Macaca fascicularis: one gene and its partner. The protein of the gene in region 1 purifies or fractionates together with the protein of each later gene. This does not show direct contact. Links are inferred from orthologs where the notes say so. Each region holds a gene or a part of one and is shown in the gene's direction. Other genes may lie near its edges.

Region 1 (3,813 bases):
CTGCCGTGATTCCCTGTATGTTTCCCTGTCTGCCCGTTCCCCTGTGTGTACCTGTCTCACCTCTGCTGGCCACCTCCTCAGTCCCCAGTGTCTGCTTGGCTCCAGCTCGAAGACCTGCCAGCCCTGCCACCTGAAGGGAAGGGAAGGGGAAGAAAGAAGGGAAGTGAACCAATAAATACTTTTAAAAGAAAGGGAAAGGGAAGATAAAGCAAGGCTTTTATTAGTTTTTAATAAAATAAATAAAACTTTGCAGATAAAATGGCTATTCTTGCCTCCTGTATTCTGTTCTCTTTCATTCATGTGTGATGTGTGCATCCTATCCACATTCTCTGTGTGCTACATTTGTATGCATCTATAAATCATATGTAGTATTTTATCTCTACTTAAAATTTTATATAAATGGTACTGTACTCCAAATATCATTCTACAACTTGCCTTTTTTATTCAGTATGGGTACTGAAGCATATCTGTGTTAATAGAGGTTGATCTATTTCTTTAATTTGGACTGCTGGATGATATTCTGTTTTATTGATTTATCACATTTTCATCGCTGTTTGATATTTGGTCACATGCCACAGTTCTTCATGTCAGAAAACATCTTCATTCAAATTTTTCTGAGCATATGTATGAGTTTCCTTTCCACACTGGGAGGTGGGCTTGGAGGATATTCATATTTTAAGCTTTACTAAGCAATTCTAAATTGGATGTTTCAATGTACACGCCCACCAGTTGTAGATGACAACCTTTGTTTCTTCATATCTTTGTTAACCTTGAATATCATGATGCTTTTTAATTTTTGGTAATTTTATAAGTGTGAAATAGAGTCATGTCTATACTTGCATTTCCCTGATATCTAATGAGGCTGAGGATGTCTTCAAATCATGATTATTAGAAATACATAGGTTTTTAAGTTAGAAGGCAGTATTTGTTAGTTTGAAAGCCTATGGCTTTCTTGTTATTTCACATTTCAAGCATGTTTACTCTTTCAATGTTTGATGAATCTTCTCCCAAGTGAATGAGAAAGAGTCCTTAATTGATCAAGTTCCAGTTAACAACATTCACTTGCAATTGGATGAAGATGAAAAGTGAGGAGTCTCCTGCTTTTGTACATGAAAGGTTTTTTTACATGTGTAGGAATTAGAGTGACTTACATGATGTAAGATCTTTAAAATGTTATAAAATTTCTAAGTAGGCTTAATATGTGTGATATCTTTAACATTTCCTACATGGTCTTTACTGTATGAAACACAGCTGAAGGGATAGAAATAGACAACCATCTTAGGCCTTAGCATTCCCCATTTATTTTACAAAGTAAACAAGGACCTAATGGAATAAGGTCATCACAGAATTGCTCCAACACAGCTGGATAGACACGTGTTCCTGTTGGCTGTCAACCCACACTCTATTGCACAGCTTGAACAGTTCTTTGATCTGCTTGGTACCAAAGCCAAAATCCTGGTGTACAAGAGCAATTTAGGGGTGTTGATGTATGAGTTTAGTTGGCCAAATGTCACTCCCATGAAAGTCAGGGCTGCCCAGGCAACCCTGCATTCATCCTGAATGATTTCTGGAGCGTGAGCTGTGTGCCCTTGTTCTTTCCTCTAGATATCAGCTGAACCTCTTTGCCAGGATGTGTCTGGACCGCCAATACCTGGCCATCAATGAAATCTCAGGCCAGCTGGATGTCGATCTCATTCTCCGCTGCATGTCTGACGAGAACCTGCCCTATGACCTCAGGGCATCCTTCTGCCGCCTCATGCTTCACATGCATGTGGACCGAGATCCCCAGGAACAAGTCACCCCCGTGAAATATGCCCGCCTCTGGTCAGAGATTCCCTCGGAGATTGCCATTGACGAGTGAGCCTGGCCCCTGAAAACCTCACTTTACGTTGTTCTGTGCGGCAGTAGATAGCCCCATATAGTCTCATTAAATCTTAGAAGAAAGATGAAGTGTTGTTTTTTTAGCTTAAAATAAAATTAAATGGATGGCAAATATTTTTTTCCTCAAGAATGTAAAAGATGGCATGATCATGTTTTTTACATCATTTATCTCCTCTTCTACAAATATTTAAGTGTGTACTCTGTGCCACACTCAAGAAATATATCAGTGAACAAGCTAGAAAGCAGTCTCTATGCTAGTTGGTGGAAGACACAATAGGCAAGATAAACGACTCAAACATATAGTTGGTGATATGTGCTAAGGAGGGAAAAAATAAAGTAGGGTCAAGGGACACCAAGGGTTAGCGGATGTTGACTTTTGAAGCTGAGTGACCCAGGAAGACCTCTCTGGGAATAACTTGAAATTTTGTTTCCTTTCTTTCTCCTTTCTTTTCAGCTATGATAGTAGTGGAGCTTCCAAAGATGAAATTAAGGAGAGATTTGCTCAGACCATGGAGTTTGTGGAGGAATATTTAAGAGATGTGGTTTGTCAGAGGTTCCCTTTCTCTGATAAGGAGAAAAATAAGCTTACGTTTGAGGTAACTCACAAATGAAATGATCTGTGTGTATTATCTGCCTCTCAGTGGTCATTTTTCTATGGGGCAAATAGAAAATATTTGAGTAGGTAGTGATTTTGGTCATGATGCTCTGGTTTTGTAATGGAAAGGAATTCAGCTTGGTTTTGTTCCAGAATAAGATAAAACAGATACCAGTCACATGGCTTAATAGTAGTTATGTTCTTAAAAGAAATATACAAGGTGACTTGAACCACATAAAATGATAGAACATCACTTTGTATTAAAACTGACAAGGGAGAAACACTGTGTTTGCGATCTGCTATAGATTAATCATTTGCAGAATGTAAATCCTCGTTACTTCTGAGTTAACAATGTTTCTGAGACTACTTTTGCCTTTTAAGAGCTGTATTTCTGAGGATTGCAGAATGTTATTACCTGTGTCCTTGTTGGGAATAACTCTGCTTGCCTTGTGTTAATATTATCCTTGGGAAGCTGTGCAGAGCAAATGATGAGGTCTTTTTTTTTTAATTAGTCATCAGAGCAGATCAGTAGCTCTCCATTTCTTATTTTTCCTCCTTATGAAACAAAATGAAATTTTATCAGAAAGTGCAAGGAAAATACATGCCTTCTCTTACCATAAGGAAGGTCCAAATCTGTCATTTCTAAACTGGTCAACATCAAATGGATTTGAAGGGGGTGCAGTTTATGTAATACCATCTTCTTCTTTTATTTTATACAATAGGTTGTAAATTTAGCTAGGAATCTCATATACTTTGGTTTCTACAACTTCTCTGACCTTCTACGATTAACTAAGATCCTTCTGGCCATATTGGACTGTGTGCATGTGACGACAATCTTCCCCATTAGCAAGATGGCGAAAGGAGAAGAGAATAAAGGTAACAATGATGTGGAGAAGCTGAAGAGTGAGTATCTGAGGGTGCCCATACATCTGAGAGATGCCCTCCCAGCCTTTCCTGTTACGCTCATGTCATACCCTATGTGTGATGCCACATCCTTTCTTTGCTCATTCCTTCCCAACTTTTCATCATGAACATTTTCAAATACTGTGTAAAGAAAAGCTGGAAGAACAGTATGATGGAGTCCCATGCACCCATGACTTTGAGTCAACAGTTATTCACATTTTACTGTCTTTCCTTTGTATTTATGTGTGAGTCATGTGTATATTTTGTTGAACAATTTGAAAGTTACCTAACACTTTGAATGTTTATATAACAAATACATGTCCTGTTGTTGTCCTTGACATTCGTGAGGCCCTTGGTAATAATACTTGTTTAGGATGTAAGAAAATTCAGGCTTGTATCTTGGTAGCTATTTCCACTTTGTGAGTAGGACAATC
Region 2 (4,609 bases), on another chromosome or scaffold:
CACACTTCCCTTTTCCTGAGTCTTAAATCTGTCTAACACCACCGGCTTGCCATCTTCCCGGTGTAAAAGTTTTTCTTTTACTGAAGGCTATAATTAAGTGGACTCTTTCTTTTCTGCAAACAAAATAACTAATAACTTCAGTGGCTGAATTAGAAATGCCCCAATGTGATGTTGGTGAGTAGGGCAGGTTGAGGAAAACGTGAGGCCCTTAGCCTAGGAGACACAAAGTCTGGATTCCAGGCCTGGTCCCACGTTTGCCTTCAGTCTGTATTTACTGGGCACCTAAGGCCCGGGGGTGCGGAAGGAAAGTCAGTCTCTGCTCTCCCGGGAACATACAGTTTATCTAGAAAGACGAAGTGCACAAGCCGCTGTGCACTGTGGCAGGAGTTAAAAAAGCAATGAACTCAAGATATTAAGGAAACACAAAGGAAGCTTTCCTTGGCTTTTACCCTTGAACCTCGCTGAACTTCTTAGATTCCGTTCATTAAAATTAGAATAATTCCTTGTTAATATACTTTGTGGTGTTGCAGGGTCGCAATGGCCAAAGCTCCCAGAAAAATATAAAGAACTCAAGGTAGGGATTTTTGATTAGTGAGGTAATGATGCTAATCTGTACACTGAAAAGATTGTTTCATTTCAGCTGTGCTATAGGAAAACAGTTACAACTCGCTAGTAGTTTATCAAGGCGGGAAAAAAAAAAAGGCAGCGCATGGTGGCTCACACCTGTAATCTCAGCAGTTTGGGAGGCCGAGGCAGGAGGATTGCTTGAAGCCAGAGTTTGAGACCAGACATACCGAGACCCTGTCTTTACTAAAAATAAAATTGTCAAGTGTCCTGGCGCACACCTGTTGTCCCAGCTACTCAGGAGGCTGAGATGGGAGGATCGCTTGAGTCCAGGAGTTCGAGGCTGTAGTGAGCCATGATCGTGCCACTGCACTCCAGCCTGGGCAAAAGAGCGAGACCCTGTCTCTAAAAAAAACCAAAACGAACCAGGTTCGGCCTAATGCAGAGGGAAATCAGAAGCAATCCCCAAAGTCAACGCCTTGGAAAAGGACGCCCTGGGTCTCAGTACTCCGGGTCACGCGCGTCCTGCCGCTCGCTCTCGGGGCGCTCCCACCTACACCGCCCTCATCCCCAGCCCCAGGCCGGACACCCGAAACAGAGGTACAGGACCGCACGGACCAAGCCGCGGGCGATCCCTGGCGGCCAGCTGCGGCCATTGACCGCTGGAAGCGCGAGGGGCGGGGCGCAGAGCGAGCGCGGGGCGGGGGTGTGGTCTTCTCGCGTGAACTGATGGCGTCATCGAAGCGACGGCCCAGAAGGAAGTCGCGTGCTGAGGGGTGTGACGGTTTTCTTGCTCGTGGGCTCGGACGAGTACGGAGCGCCTGCAGGGACAGCCTGGTACGCGGCCCCCGCCCCTTCGTGCGCGCGCTGGGCCTAGCTGCAGCTCCGGTTCGGGGCTGACCCATCACCCTCGGGAGCCTCAGTCCCAGCAGCTTCTCTCCCTCCGCCGGCCCGCTCCTGGAGAGACACAGAAACCCTTTTCTGTCGCGTCCCTTCCTTGAGAGCCGCAGGGGGACGGAGCGGAGGCTATTGGAGCCGCAGTCCCAGCCCAGGGCGCTTGACCCTCTCTCGGAACGGGGCGGGGAAGGGGCGCGAGTGACTTCGGGGAGGGAAGGGCACTGGCAGGAAAGGACGCAACTGCAGATCGGTAGCCGGAGGCCGCCACGGTAAAATAAGCGCCTCGCAGATGTCCGCGCCCGGGTTACGTTAGACCTGGGAGGCAGAATCCACGCCCTGCGTTCACGGGCCCACGCACGCACAGCTGAACTTTGCAGTCAGTCACCATAGTTCCAGATCATTCAGTGTTCAGGATCCAACTCCTCCGCGTCCTGGTGCCTGAACGCGGTTGGACCCAGGAGCCCAGAGGCTCGCAGTTTTGGACATTGCCTTTGTCTCTGACCACGGGCTTGGGGATCTGTCAGGTGCAAAGTGCCAAAGTATATCGGGGGGAGTGTGGCTTCAGGCTTGTTCAGAGCCCTGTCCTGTTTAGGGCCAAAGGAATAACTGGGAAGGTGGATGCGAGGCCAGCGAATCCTACCTTGAAACTCGGCTCGCCTGCTGGCTCTGCCACTCCAGCATCTGAAAGGAGTAAATAATGGTTTCCCTTGAAACTGCAGGCAATTAGGAGTGGGAGGCTCTGACCAGAATTACATAGCCACAACTGCCTGTCATTTGGCATCCTCTGTAATTTGGGCCAAAGTACTGCAGCTGCCTCTCTTCCCTACTACTAGTATGAAAGATTCAGTGACAGCACATTCGTGTTCACAGGAAGATGAGGCTGTGTTCTGAACCCTACCCAGCTGGCACGGGTTCTCCCTTGAGCAACGGCTGTATCCGGAGCCAGTGCTTCCTCAGTGCGGTGGGGGCCCTGATTTCACAGTTGAGGAAAGGGGAACGTTGACTGAGAACGAGGAGGAAGCGAGTTGTAGATCTAGCCTTGTGTTCACACGACACCAGGCTGAATATGAGTCACTCGCAGGGAGCTCAGCTTGGTGAGGTCCTCTGGCTGTTGCGGCCTTTTCTCCTGCACGTTGGACCACACACATTTTCCCGTGTCTTTTCCCTAGGATAAAGGCTCACTGATGGCTCAGTTGGGAGCAGTTGTGGCTGTGGCTTCCAGTTTCTTGTGTGCATCTCTCTTCTCAGCTGTGCACAAGATAGAAGAGGGACATATTGGGGTATATTACAGGTAAGACAGAGACAGGGCAAAGTCGGCAACTTCTGTTAAATAGCTCCCTTTCCTGGTCACTGCTTTCCTAGCAGATACTGCTGAACATCTCTGTTTATATTTCCTTGAACAGGGGAGTCTTTTCAGATTGAGCTTTTTATGTCAGTAACCATGGAAAAGAGAATACACACACACACATATATGTAAATTTAGAACTTCGCTTAGTAGTCCAAGATGATGCCATGGGTGGTGATTAATAAATGTTTATATAGATTTAGAGGCAAAATCTAAAGGAAACTGGTGCTCCTCACAGATCATCCCTAAAATACTGTTTTCTCCTACATCCCTCTGGCAGTCTTAGCTCTACACTGCTAGGTTACCTTTACAAAAGCCAGCTGAGTCCCAGTTCTTGATGGCAACTTGAGAAGGTAGCCTACTCTGCTAATTTAGGATACTCTTTTGAAATTAACATTTCAGCCAGCCTGGGTAATATGTGAGACCCTATCTCTAAAAAATAAAAATAAAAAAATTAATTAGCCGACTCTGTGTCACGCACACGTAGTCCTAGTTACTCAGGAGACTAAGGTGAGAGGATCACCTGAGCCCAGGAGATTGAGACCAGCCTGAGCAACATAGTGAGAGCCCATCTCTACAAAAAGTAAAAAATTAGCTGAGCATGGTGGCATGTGCCTGTAATCCCAGTTATTGGAGAGGCTGAAGTGGGAGGATCACTTGAGCCCAGGAGTTTGAGGCTGCAGTGATCACACCACTGCACTCCAGCCTGGGTGACAGAGCAAAACCCTGTCTCTAAAACTAAATTAAAATAATATTAACATTTCACGAAAAATGAAAGAGCCTGCAGGTTGACTTATGTCAGTCAAAGCAAGCCTTAGGATAGTGGTTCCTACAATAAATTTAGGAGCCCATTATGTCACTGTTTGTTTTATTGGTTTTTTTTAATTCTTTGCATAATATAAAGCAAAGAAGCACTTATAAGTCGGGTTGCTTTCTTTTTAATAATCTCCATGACCAAGTTTTTTGCTTTATGTCTTTGTGAACTCTTCTTATATGTGCTGTTGTGATGCTTATTTCTGGATTGATAACAGCAAGTTCTAAAACTCTGGAATTCCTCTCTCCTTTAATTCTTTCTCCCCATGATCTGCTTACATGTTCCCCAAAAAGGCTTTTAACTTTATCATTTACATATAACTTGATTAGAAAGGTAACTCTATTGCCAAAACATATATTTCAATTACTTATAAAGTACTTCAAATTATTCTTTTGGTTGGTCATGTCAGTGGACTCCAGCATTAGTGCAGGTAGTTGATAACCACATTACTGGACTTAACTGCCCTTATGGATTACCACAAGCCCAACAGATATGACAAAGTAAAACAGACTTCATCTTCTTTTTTTTTTTTTTCTGAGACTCAGCCTGGCTCTGTTGCCCAGGCTAGAGTGCAGTGGCAAGATATCAGCTCGCTGCAACCTTCGCCTCCTGGGTTCAAGCAATTCTCTGCCTCAGCCTACCAAGTAGCTGGGATTACAGGCACCTGCCACCATGCCTGGCTAATTTTTGTATTTTTAGTAGAGACGGGGTTTCACCATGTTGGCCAGCCTGGCCTTGAACTCCTGACCTCGTAATCTACCCACCTCGGCTTCCCAAAGATTACAGGCGTGAGCCACTGCGCCTGGCCAGAGTGCCTGTTATCTAAGTATACCCATGGATTCCGCTGTCTTTTTTTTTTTTTTTTTTTTTTAAGACAGAGTCTCACTTTGTTGCCCAAGCTGGAGTGCAGTGGCACAATTATGGCTCACTACAGCCTCAACCTCCCAGGCTCAAGCAATTCTTACATCTCAGTCTCCCAAGTAGCTGGG

What was found.
Region 2: the proteins of ITPR1 (region 1) and ERLIN2 purify together in Homo sapiens (affinity purification with western blotting, with the first as the bait; 4 studies listed by BioGRID). This does not show direct contact. The link is inferred for Macaca fascicularis from reciprocal best matches to the Homo sapiens genes ITPR1 and ERLIN2.

What each region holds. Positions count from the first base shown.
Region 1 is NC_088376.1:142,897,587-142,901,399, forward strand, and holds part of ITPR1 (inositol 1,4,5-trisphosphate-gated calcium channel ITPR1), read left to right. Parts: intron 1-1,605; coding exon 1,606-1,857; intron 1,858-2,335; coding exon 2,336-2,477; intron 2,478-3,198; coding exon 3,199-3,379; intron 3,380-3,813. UniProt on the Homo sapiens protein: Inositol 1,4,5-trisphosphate-gated calcium channel that, upon inositol 1,4,5-trisphosphate binding, mediates calcium release from the endoplasmic reticulum (ER).
Region 2 is NC_088382.1:41,109,800-41,114,408, forward strand, and holds the start of ERLIN2 (erlin-2), read left to right. Parts: upstream 1-1,521; 5' UTR 1,522-1,985; exon of another isoform or gene 1,986-2,101; coding exon of another isoform or gene 2,102-2,142; exon of another isoform or gene 2,143-2,297; intron 2,298-2,630; 5' UTR 2,631-2,645; coding exon 2,646-2,752; intron 2,753-4,609. Other genes in the region: uncharacterized protein, read right to left, coding at 1,017-1,521, 2,102-2,142. UniProt on the Homo sapiens protein: Component of the ERLIN1/ERLIN2 complex which mediates the endoplasmic reticulum-associated degradation (ERAD) of inositol 1,4,5-trisphosphate receptors (IP3Rs) such as ITPR1.